Linked DNA regions of Schizosaccharomyces pombe. Changing the gene in region 1 together with any one later gene gives a genetic interaction. Each region holds a gene or a part of one and is shown on either strand. Other genes may lie near its edges.

What was found.
Region 2: of mst2 (region 1) and ago1, changing one suppresses a phenotype caused by changing the other (phenotypic suppression), as found in Schizosaccharomyces pombe (4 studies listed by BioGRID, with this or other methods).

What each region holds. Positions count from the first base shown.
Region 1 is NC_003424.3:2,362,781-2,368,704, reverse strand, and holds mst2 (histone acetyltransferase Mst2), read left to right. Parts: upstream 1-1,770; 5' UTR 1,771-1,871; coding exon 1,872-2,324; exon of another isoform or gene 2,325-2,440; coding exon 2,441-2,530; exon of another isoform or gene 2,531-2,577; coding exon 2,578-3,258; 3' UTR 3,259-3,310; coding exon of another isoform or gene 3,311-5,137; 3' UTR 5,138-5,206; downstream 5,207-5,924. Other genes in the region: protein kinase C (PKC)-like Pck1, read left to right, coding at 1-448, 504-705, 750-938, 980-1,163, 1,209-1,300; exocyst complex subunit Sec3, read right to left, coding at 3,311-5,137. UniProt on the Schizosaccharomyces pombe protein: Component of the mst2 complex which is a highly specific H3 lysine 14 (H3K14) acetyltransferase that functions together with gcn5 to regulate global levels of H3K14 acetylation (H3K14ac), critical for DNA damage checkpoint activation.
Region 2 is NC_003421.2:332,121-337,570, forward strand, and holds ago1 (argonaute), read left to right. Parts: upstream 1-1,958; 5' UTR 1,959-2,016; coding exon 2,017-2,145; intron 2,146-2,351; exon of another isoform or gene 2,352-2,516; coding exon 2,517-4,892; 3' UTR 4,893-4,950; downstream 4,951-5,450. Other genes in the region: mrps8 (mitochondrial 37S ribosomal protein uS8m), read right to left, coding at 1-363. UniProt on the Schizosaccharomyces pombe protein: Required for G1 arrest and mating in response to nitrogen starvation. Ago1 regulation of cytokinesis and cell cycle checkpoints occurs downstream of dcr1. Required, indirectly, for regulated hyperphosphorylation of cdc2.

The sequences.
Region 1 (5,924 bases):
CTTCCTCTTCTACTCCTACTCCAGCTTCTGTTCTTGCTCCACCTTCCAGTGCTAGCTTATCGTCTTCCAAGGATGCTAATAGAAGTGTTCCAGAAAGTCCACGCAGAGAGAAAAAGAATCGTGTTACGCTTGACGACTTCACATTTTTGGCTGTATTAGGGAAAGGCAATTTTGGCAAGGTTATGTTGGCTGAATATAAAGTGAATAAAAAGTTTTATGCCATCAAAGTTCTGAAAAAAGAAGCCATTTTAAAGAATGAGGAACTAGAGAGTTTAAAAACTGAAAAGCATGTTTTCGAAGTCGCGAATAAAGAAAAACATCCGTTCTTGCTGAATCTTTTTGCAAGCTTTCAAACTAGTACCAGGGTTTACTTCGTTATGGAATATATTCTTGGTGGTGACCTTATGGTTCATATTCAACGTCAACAGTTTAGCGTGAAACGTGCAAGGTAGTACTTCAATCTTTATTTTTATTTTTATTTTTATTTTTTATTAACCCCATAGATTTTATGGTGCTGAGGTTTGTTTAGCATTGAAGTATTTTCATGAGAATGGAATTGCTTACCGTGATTTGAAATTGGATAATATTCTACTTTGTCCTGATGGTCATATACGAATTGCTGATTATGGACTCTGCAAAGAAAATATGTTGCTTGGCAATACAACTTCCACCTTTTGTGGTACCCCCGAATTCATGGCTCCAGAAGTAAGGCGGAACTTGTTTTGGTTTATTTTATCTAACGAAAATAGATTTTATTAGAACAGCAATATTCCAAGGATGTTGATTGGTGGGCTTTTGGCGTTTTGATGTATCAAATGTTACTGGGTCAATCCCCTTTCAAAGGTGAAGATGAAGAGGAAATATTCGATGCGATTTTAAGCGATGAACCGTTGTTTCCGATTAATATGCCAGCGGATGCGGTTTCGTTATTGAGAGGGGTATGCAAATTTCTAAATATGTTAACTAATTCAAAAAATAGCTTTTAACAAGAGATCCAAATCAACGACTTGGTAGTGGACCAAAAGACGCAAACGAGGTTATGGCTCATCCTTTCTTTGCTAGTATTGTCTGGGATGACTTGTATAACAAACTTTATGAACCATCATATAAACCGCTTATCAACGATCCCCGAGACCTCAATAATTTTGATGAAGAATTTACAAGTATGACAATTGTTAAAATATGGTTAATTACTAACGATCGATTAGGTGCATGTCCAACTTTGACACCTGTCAATACTGTTCTCACACGACAACAACAAGAGTGTTTCAGAGGATTTTCCAGTTTTGCTACTGAATAGAATTAGCTTGTCCTTTGCTTCTGCTTTTTTAAAATTAGAAAATTATGGTAACAATTTCATATAGTTCTGATGCTGCTTCCTTTGCATTCTTACACTTAATTTAGTGTACTCACCCTTTACATGATATTTTTTTTACTTTTCTACGTGTTCATATTTAAAAAATTTCTGCATTTATCATCATTACATTACTTGAAAATAAAGTCGAAATTAGAGAATAATTAAAGTGGCATTAAAACTACTAATGTAAAACTTATCGTTGAATCACCCAAGGTGACTTTGTAGTATTTATACGCAACGTTTGTAATGGCATTCAATCAAAAAGCTAACAGTGAAGTTATGAATGGTTACTGTTTCAGAATACAAAAGTAAAAAATATGAGTAGTTTTTTATTTAACAAGAGTGAAAGGGTTATCTTTGCAGAGATCGGATGGAGGTGGAAGTAAAGCAAGAACTAAGAAGAGAATGAGGGCACTACCACCAACTCAATTATATTGACCAAAGGATTAAATGGGGCCATTAGGAAAACTATGAACGATCTGTAAATATAAACAATCTTTTTTTTTTATGTATAATGCCGGCGACTATTTTGAAATCCACAGCCAGTTCAAAGACTTTGTTAATAATAAAGTTTGATACAAACTCCTCCAGATATCCATTTTATAAGAAACATTTATTAGAGTTAAATTCGGAAAGTACTTTTTTGGGTCTATTAACTAAAGGGCAAGCTGACACATCGATTACGAGACTCAACCAAGACGATGTGAGGCTGTTTGAAAAAGCAAAGACAGTAGCAGATAGGACAAAGGATGTGGCTTATTCATTTTCCGATCCTATTTTATCTACACAGTTGCGAACGCCTCCACCACAACCAACCTCCATTCGATACCTCTATTTTGGTACTTACCGGATAAAACCATGGTATACATCACCGTATCCAGAGGAGTATAGCTGTGCAAAAAATTTATATATATGCGAATCTTGTTTAAAGTATATGAACAGTGATCATGTACTACAAAGGCACAAGGTAAACAACTTTTCAAGTAAGATCATAATGTTATTCGCTATTGCTTGAGTTTAAACGAGGTGTACATTAAAAGATCATAATCTATCCAAATTGAATTTACGGACTAACATAATCAGATGAAATGCTCATGGAGTTATCCACCAGGAGATGAAATATATCGGGATAAGAATATATCAATTTTTGAAGTTGATGGTCAACGGCAACCGGTAAGTAATTTTTTATGCATTTTATACTTATTGATGTTTTTCCTTAGATATATTGTCAAAATTTATGTCTTCTAGCAAAGATGTTTCTTCATTCAAAAATGCTGTACTATGACGTTGAACCGTTTCTTTTCTATGTATTGACTGAATTTGATGGCCAAGAATGCAAAGTTATTGGATATTTCAGTAAAGAGAAACGCTCGGCTTCTGATTATAACGTTTCCTGTATATTAACATTACCCATTTACCAACGCCGAGGATATGGTGTCTTTTTGATTGATTTTAGTTATTTACTTACACAGGTAGAAGGTAAGCTTGGATCACCTGAAAAGCCACTTTCAGATTTAGGCCTCGTTACGTACCGAAGCTATTGGAAAATGAGAGTAGCCAAAGCTCTATTGGAAATCACAACACCGATTAGCATAAATGCTATCGCCAAATCAACATCTATGGTATGCGACGATGTTATATCCACATTGGAATCGTTATCTGTATTTAAGTATGATCCGCTCAAAAAGAAATATGTATTACAACTGAAACGGGATGAACTTGAGAATGTTTATAAAGCTTGGAATATCAAACACCCTCAAAGAGTAAATCCAAAACTTCTAAGATGGACGCCATATCTCGGAGAAGAGCAGATATCTAACCTTTTACTTAAAGAAAATATACTTATTCCTCTACCTCAAAAGCGTCTATTAGATAACTCTCATCATCTGGATTCCGTTTAGTTCAAATAAATAAGTATTTTAATCTTTCGATATTTGTCGTGAAGCATTTGTATCATCTACGGCTTGGTTGTTGCTCTATATTAATGACGCCATTTAATGCAGTAGACAACTCTAGGGAAAATAAGTTGATGGTTGAATTGATAGACTCACAACCTAAAGCACAATCTTGAAGTTGGCTCTTAATGTTTTGCAATTCGATTTCTTCTTCAGCAAGGTTTTCCACACTGCTTATGATAGCTCCATCAAACGAAAATTCTGTTTGTTTCAATACATCTTTTATAGTTGTACCTTCATTCCACTTCAAAGTGGAAAGACGAGAAATGCTTTGCTCCGGAATGTTTTTGAGGTTGATTTTTGAGTTAAGATCGTAAACTTTTTCAACAGAAGCTTGGTGCGGTTTAGTCGGAATGGAAGTAACAAGAGTTTTCTTGGCTTTTGGCTTGGAAGTGGTTTTTCTATTTTCAAAGCGCAAACTTTCAAAAAGGGGAAGAAGTTCATTTCCTATAGAAGGCTCGTCGTTTGGTGGTTCGATTTGTTTACCAGTCGAAGGAGTTGCCCGAACAGTTGGCTGACGGGACGGGTGCTTTGGAGGTAATTTAGGAATAGCCGGTGCTCCTGTTGGTTTTCGAGAAACAGACTTTGCTGATACTTTAGACGAACTGGAAGGCTTGTAAGATGACGTTAATACTGAAGGAGTTTCTAAGCTAGAAGATAAAGCTGCCTGGGTAGCATCACGATCCACTTTACTAAAATCGCTAGCAAATGTGTTTGACTCCAAAGAAGAGCTTAGTTTCACGTCTTTTTGAGACATATTATACTTACCAGCTTCTAGTGCCAAAGCTGTATTTTTCTCGTAAGAACCACTGATGCTATTCTTACCCCTTTCCGAAGAACTCGTTCCACTGTTAAATGAGGGTGCTTGTTCACGACGAGTAGTTTTACGTAAAGAAGGTTTAGATGGAAACAATTGAGCTTGTTCTTGAATAAACATTTCCCGTGTTTGATTATCTCGTCTTTGAGTTGAAGTATCGAATAAGACATCATCTTTTCGGTCTCCTGAAGTCCTTGCAATGGCAGAAGAACTTGAAATTTCTATAACATCACTATGGGCAGATGATGGGGTCCCCCGGGAAACGTTGGAAGAAGGCTTATTGTCAGAAAACCGTCTTTCTTTTTCAACACTCAACTTCTTTTTGGCTGATCGAGAAGAATCAATAGTGAGCTTCTTCTCGATGCGAGGCTGATCCGTTTCTAAATTGGTAACAATTGGGCCGTCCGAAAAATTACGGTTATGTGCGACTCGAGAGTTAAAAGATGAGGAAACTTGTTCTGAAGAATTTTCAGGTAATGATGACCTTGCTTTAGGAATAGCTAGGCTCTTTGCAGGATAGAGATTAGGTTTGTTATCAGCAAAGGAATTACGATAGGCCCAGTCCACTTTGCGGCCATCAGTCGTAGTCACTGAAAGCGGCCTGCCCATATAGTACATATAATTTTTAGCAACAGAAAAAACAAATCGATCGCGAGCAGAAGTGTCCTGAGTTCGCAACAAATGTGGCTTGTTTATTGTCATAGTAACATCATGATCATTAATTACAGTAATATTCTGCAACTCAAATAAAGGCCAGGATTTCACGACTGTCATTCCGCCTTTATCATTTACTTTCAATCTGTGTATATAAAAAATACGAGTCACATCATCACAAGTCAAAGCAATGTAGCGGGGTTTCATCTTTGAGCCAACAACATTAACTCCTCTTTCTTCCTCCACCGGAAGATATGCTAATGATTGCTCATGAGCTTTCCGTTTATCGGTAGTTTGAGCCGAATTGACAGCTTGTAGAATTTCTTGTTCAACGGCATTAGGGTTAGAAGCCATTCGTCTGAAGTGGTGTATTAAATGAAAAAAATTGGGTTAAATAGATAAATATTAACAAAAAAAAAACCATTAATTAAACATTCTACCACTTTCCAATGGCAAGTAATACTGAAAGCGCCTTATTCAACGGAAAAACAAATTTTCTAAGGAAACGAGACTTTTTTTTAATTCACAGAGTCTTTATAAGCAAGGGATAAAATTTTCTTGTAAAATTGAATTCTAGCGGTAAAGAAATATATAAATTTGATAATAATTTTTACAATTGTGGTGGAATGGTGGGTTAATAAGGAGAAATGTCAAAACGTAAACAAGTGACATATGTAGGCAAATGCTATAGAAGTCGATTTTTTAAAGTTTATTTAAACTTGCAAGCATTGTCTACGTTCATAATATTTATATATATTTAAACATCTTTAAATATTTTTGCTGTGCATGAAAAGTACAATAATCCATAACTTTTTTGTTGATGACTTCGCTGTACTTTATGGCAGCTTTGTTTATTCGACGAGCTTAAAAAATCCAAATTATTGAAACAGGAAACACATTGATAGCCATAGTGTAATTCTAATTGCATAACCAGCAACGTTTAAAATGGTTAGCTATAGTTAAGTATTAGTACTACGCAGGACAATAATTATCCGCTCATTTCCACATCCTGTAGAACTTATAAAAGTGTGTTACACAATGAGCATCTTGCAACGAATACTAGATATTTATAGTAACATGCTAGGGATTCTTATTACACTGTTTGGTACAATTACAGACCCATAATCAAAGCATTGAACGA
Region 2 (5,450 bases), on another chromosome or scaffold:
TGCAGGCTCCAACCCATTCACAAAGCTAACTTTCCTTCCTTTGGCAAATTGCAACAACTCAGAAGGAGTCAAGTTCACCTTTCTACTAGGCTTTGATACTGCACGTATGTAGTGAAGAACCGGTTTTCCCTCAAAGTACTTTAAACCCAACCATAGACGGCGGGTCGCTACATTTTGCCTAGTGGTGATTGTGGGTAAAGCATCGGGTCCATGAATATCTCCGCGTTGAATCGAGCTTAAAAATCCTTGATGATACAAAACAGCACATAACTCGAGCACACTGTTACAGTTAGGAACGCTTGCTAACGACTTGCGAGCGCGAAATGAATTTTGCAAATGCGAAAAAACATAATGCAATTGCATTTCGACTTTTTTAACACAATCCTAATCTTTTATAAGCAGTCCAACAATAAAAGCCTTTTTTTTCTATACAGAATGGTGTTTTGAGGAAAGAAAAGAGGTATGAATGCAGTTTAGCTAGTCACTTCCAAATACCTCTCTCTGTACTGGAAGAATAGTAAGTAGTGAACGGTGTAGCTAGTGTTACACACTATTAGCAAGTTAATGGACATTGCAGTAATCACTGGATAGTAGTATATTAACGACACGATACTAAAGTTCACAATAAATCACTATATAATAAACTAAAAGCACCGGTTTACTATGTTTGGAAAACAAGGCGCAAAATTGCAAAACCAACGGTTATTACGGCAAAAGCCGTCTACCAAATGTTAGAGATTTACTTTGTACAGAATAAAATATGGATCTAAATCGCTGTGTCAATCTGTTAATATTATAGCATTCAAATTACCATGAAACCCACAAAGTTGTCAGAAGTGGGAAGCGAATTTTTGTGCGTTTAGTAGTTCCAAAATCCTCGAAAGGTATTCGCAAATGTAATAATCGAAAAAATTATAATAAGCAGTGTTCAAAAAAACAAGCGGTACAACAGCGAACGCCTGTAAAATATAGGGATGTAAAAAAGCATTTGAATACAATGTAAATTCACAATTGTATAGGATTATAAAAATTTTTTATAAAATAATGGCATAACGAATTCTTTACTGATATTTTAATTACAGAAAAGAAAACGTGAATTGAAAACAAAAGCCTAACAGTATGGAGAACGATTTATAATGCTTCTTTATGTGGCCGATCGTCCAGAAATTACTGATTTACTCAGTATAATATATTGATTTAATTAAGTTTCGCTTCTTAAAAAGGTTGTTAGTTTCGGTAAGCTGTTTAACGAGTATTACACAAAGCACAAGGCATTTTAATTTCATAAAAAAATGTCCGTTTTAATTTGAAAGACGTTCGAAATCAACACTTTTCAAAAATCAGTGCAATTACCGAAATCATTTACTTGAAAGTTGCCAGATTAATATTCTCAAAAGCAGGTTGTAAAAATGTATTATAACTATAAAGAGGATTTCAAGCAAGCAAATATAACAAGAAAAAGAAAACAAGTAGTAATCATTGATTTTGAACCTCCCGGTATTGTTAATATAGAACTAGTAAACAAATAGTAATTCAATGTACTATAATTTTCGTCAATGGTTACAAATAACAATTGGGTTCACTTTTATTGAATCACAACCACGATATAAAGAAAGAAGGGTTAAAACTCAAAAATCCGTCGATTTGGAACCTTTAAAAAAACATAAACCTATACAAAATTATGCGGTAATTTAAGAAAAGCTGTTAAAGATAAGCTTATATTTCTTATGTTCAGAAATTAAATAAGACTTATGTTGCGTTTGCGTGCTCAGAGAAGTATAGAAATAGACCTTAGTATATAGAAAATTCGAATGTATTAAGCATGTAAATAACAAAGTGATAAATAAAATATTTTCTTGATAGTTTTTTGATTTAATATAGTTTATAACTCAAGTAGGTTTTATATACAAGACAACTATGATGAGTCCTAATCTAGGGTTTGGTATATATAAGCTTCCAACCGCCAAAGCGAATTGTCTTCAGCCAACTCGTCCTTTATGATTCAGAGTGAGTAGGATGTCGTATAAACCAAGCTCAGAAATAGCTTTACGTCCCGGTTATGGAGGGTTGGGCAAGCAGATTACTTTGAAAGCTAACTTTTTTCAAATCATTTCTTTACCTAACGAGACTATCAACCAGTATCATGTAAGTTCCTAGAAATCGCACATTTTTATGGAATTAGAGCACTGTAAAGGAAATTTACACATTTAAAGTAAAAGCATAACAGAACACGTGGCCTTTCTTGTCTGAAATATAAATATAAATACAGAAATAAATCGTGCAAGTGTTACTGGAATTGTTTAAAGGTACTTGTTAGCTTCATTCGTTATTCGACTTTACTTTACTATACCTGGTTTATTTTCTCACTTTCTTTTAATGTTCTGTTGTTTACTTTGCCTGCTACATCATTTTGTATCTGTCTTGCATTGCACGATTCTTTTCTTTTGTATTTCATCTCTTCCTCAAATTTTGTACATTAACGTAGAATTGCATCAAATTAACGCCTTTTGTTGTAGGTCATAGTAGGTGATGGTTCACGTGTCCCACGAAAGCAATCCCAGTTGATTTGGAATTCTAAAGAAGTTAAACAGTATTTTGGATCTTCCTGGATGAATTCTGTTTATGATGGGCGAAGCATGTGTTGGTCTAAAGGTGATATTGCTGATGGCACCATCAAGGTAAACATAGGCAGTGAGTCGCACCCTCGAGAAATTGAATTCTCTATTCAAAAATCATCTAAAATTAATTTGCATACTCTTAGCCAGTTTGTAAACTCAAAGTATTCTTCGGATCCGCAAGTTCTAAGCAGTATAATGTTTCTGGATTTGCTGTTAAAGAAGAAACCATCTGAGACTTTGTTTGGCTTCATGCATTCTTTTTTTACAGGTGAAAACGGAGTTTCACTTGGAGGTGGAGTAGAGGCTTGGAAAGGGTTTTACCAGTCTATACGACCGAATCAGGGTTTCATGTCTGTTAATGTAGATATATCTTCGAGTGCATTTTGGCGTAATGATTCTTTACTTCAGATCCTTATGGAATACACAGATTGCTCGAACGTTAGAGACTTAACACGTTTTGACCTAAAACGTCTTTCCCGCAAGTTTCGGTTTCTAAAGGTGACCTGTCAGCATCGCAATAATGTCGGTACTGACCTGGCGAATAGAGTTTATTCCATCGAGGGATTTTCCTCAAAAAGTGCCAGTGATAGCTTTTTTGTTCGCCGTCTTAATGGTGAAGAGCAAAAAATCTCTGTAGCTGAATACTTTCTTGAAAATCACAATGTTCGTTTGCAATATCCTAACCTACCTTGCATATTAGTAAAGAACGGGGCGATGCTTCCTATTGAATTCTGTTTTGTTGTAAAAGGTCAGAGATATACTGCAAAACTGAATAGTGATCAAACTGCCAACATGATCCGTTTTGCGGTCCAACGACCTTTCGAACGTGTCCAGCAAATCGATGATTTTGTCCATCAGATGGATTGGGATACAGATCCCTACCTAACCCAATATGGTATGAAAATTCAGAAAAAGATGCTCGAAGTTCCAGCTCGTGTTTTAGAAACTCCTTCTATTCGTTACGGAGGAGATTGCATTGAGCGTCCCGTTAGTGGACGTTGGAATTTACGTGGTAAACGGTTCCTTGATCCGCCGAGGGCTCCTATTAGATCTTGGGCTGTAATGTGTTTTACTTCAACGCGTAGACTCCCTATGAGGGGTATTGAAAATTTCCTGCAAACATATGTACAAACACTCACTTCGTTGGGAATTAATTTTGTTATGAAAAAACCTCCAGTTTTGTATGCAGATATTAGAGGGAGTGTTGAAGAACTATGTATAACGTTATATAAAAAAGCTGAACAGGTTGGTAATGCTCCTCCTGACTATCTCTTTTTTATTTTGGATAAAAATTCGCCTGAACCATATGGTTCCATTAAACGTGTTTGCAATACTATGTTAGGGGTTCCTTCTCAATGTGCTATTAGCAAACATATTTTACAAAGCAAGCCCCAATACTGTGCAAACTTAGGCATGAAGATTAATGTCAAGGTTGGAGGAATTAATTGCTCGTTGATACCCAAATCCAACCCTTTGGGAAATGTTCCTACTCTTATTCTTGGTGGAGATGTTTATCACCCTGGGGTTGGTGCAACAGGTGTTTCGATTGCTTCAATTGTGGCATCGGTAGACCTAAATGGCTGCAAGTATACGGCTGTTTCACGTTCCCAACCTCGTCATCAAGAAGTGATTGAAGGAATGAAGGATATCGTGGTATATCTATTGCAAGGGTTTAGGGCAATGACTAAACAACAACCACAACGTATTATCTATTTCCGTGACGGTACCTCGGAAGGACAATTTTTATCAGTAATAAACGATGAGCTTTCTCAGATTAAAGAAGCGTGTCATAGTCTATCACCAAAATACAATCCAAAGATTCTAGTATGCACAACGCAGAAGAGACATCACGCTCGTTTCTTCATTAAGAACAAATCCGACGGAGATAGAAATGGAAATCCCCTCCCTGGTACAATTATTGAAAAGCATGTTACTCACCCCTATCAGTACGATTTTTACCTTATATCCCACCCATCTCTGCAAGGCGTTTCGGTCCCAGTTCACTACACGGTTTTGCACGACGAAATTCAGATGCCACCGGACCAATTCCAAACACTGTGTTATAATCTTTGTTATGTTTATGCAAGAGCAACAAGTGCTGTTTCCTTGGTTCCACCTGTTTATTATGCGCATTTGGTTAGTAACTTAGCCCGTTATCAAGACGTGACAGCCGATGATACTTTTGTTGAGACATCAGAAGCATCAATGGATCAAGAAGTAAAGCCGCTTTTAGCTCTATCAAGTAAATTGAAAACAAAGATGTGGTATATGTAATGTTTGATGGATTGCATGCAATAAGTAATGAAATAGATATACGATTGACTACTGGATTGCCCACAACTTTTACTTCCTTATTAAATCTGCTTCTGTTTTTATTTTGCTTTATATTATTGTAATTTTCTTTAATCATTTAATGTTAGTTTTTTTATGCTCTATCCACTGTTGATAGCTTGACCATGTTCCAACGATCAACAAATGTTGATAACGATAATACTAATGACATTCACTTAACCCAAAGCCCGAACTTTATGTAAGTGTCACGCCAATATAGAAATACAGATAAACTAAATGATACTTAAGGATCTCAGAAGAAGTGATTAAAATCGATAAATTCCATGCACAATGGTTGAACAACCAATTTACCTATTTGTCTAATTCAGATTCATCTAGCTTTTTTATTAAGAAAAAACATCATTCAAAGCAAAATCATTCAAATTTGAAAACAGCCTGTTTGAAGAGAATCAGAATTTCTAATTTTTTAGAGTATTTGGGTTAAGTTCAAGAACCAAACATTGCATACTGTGTTAAGATTTCGTTTAGAGGAGCAAAAAC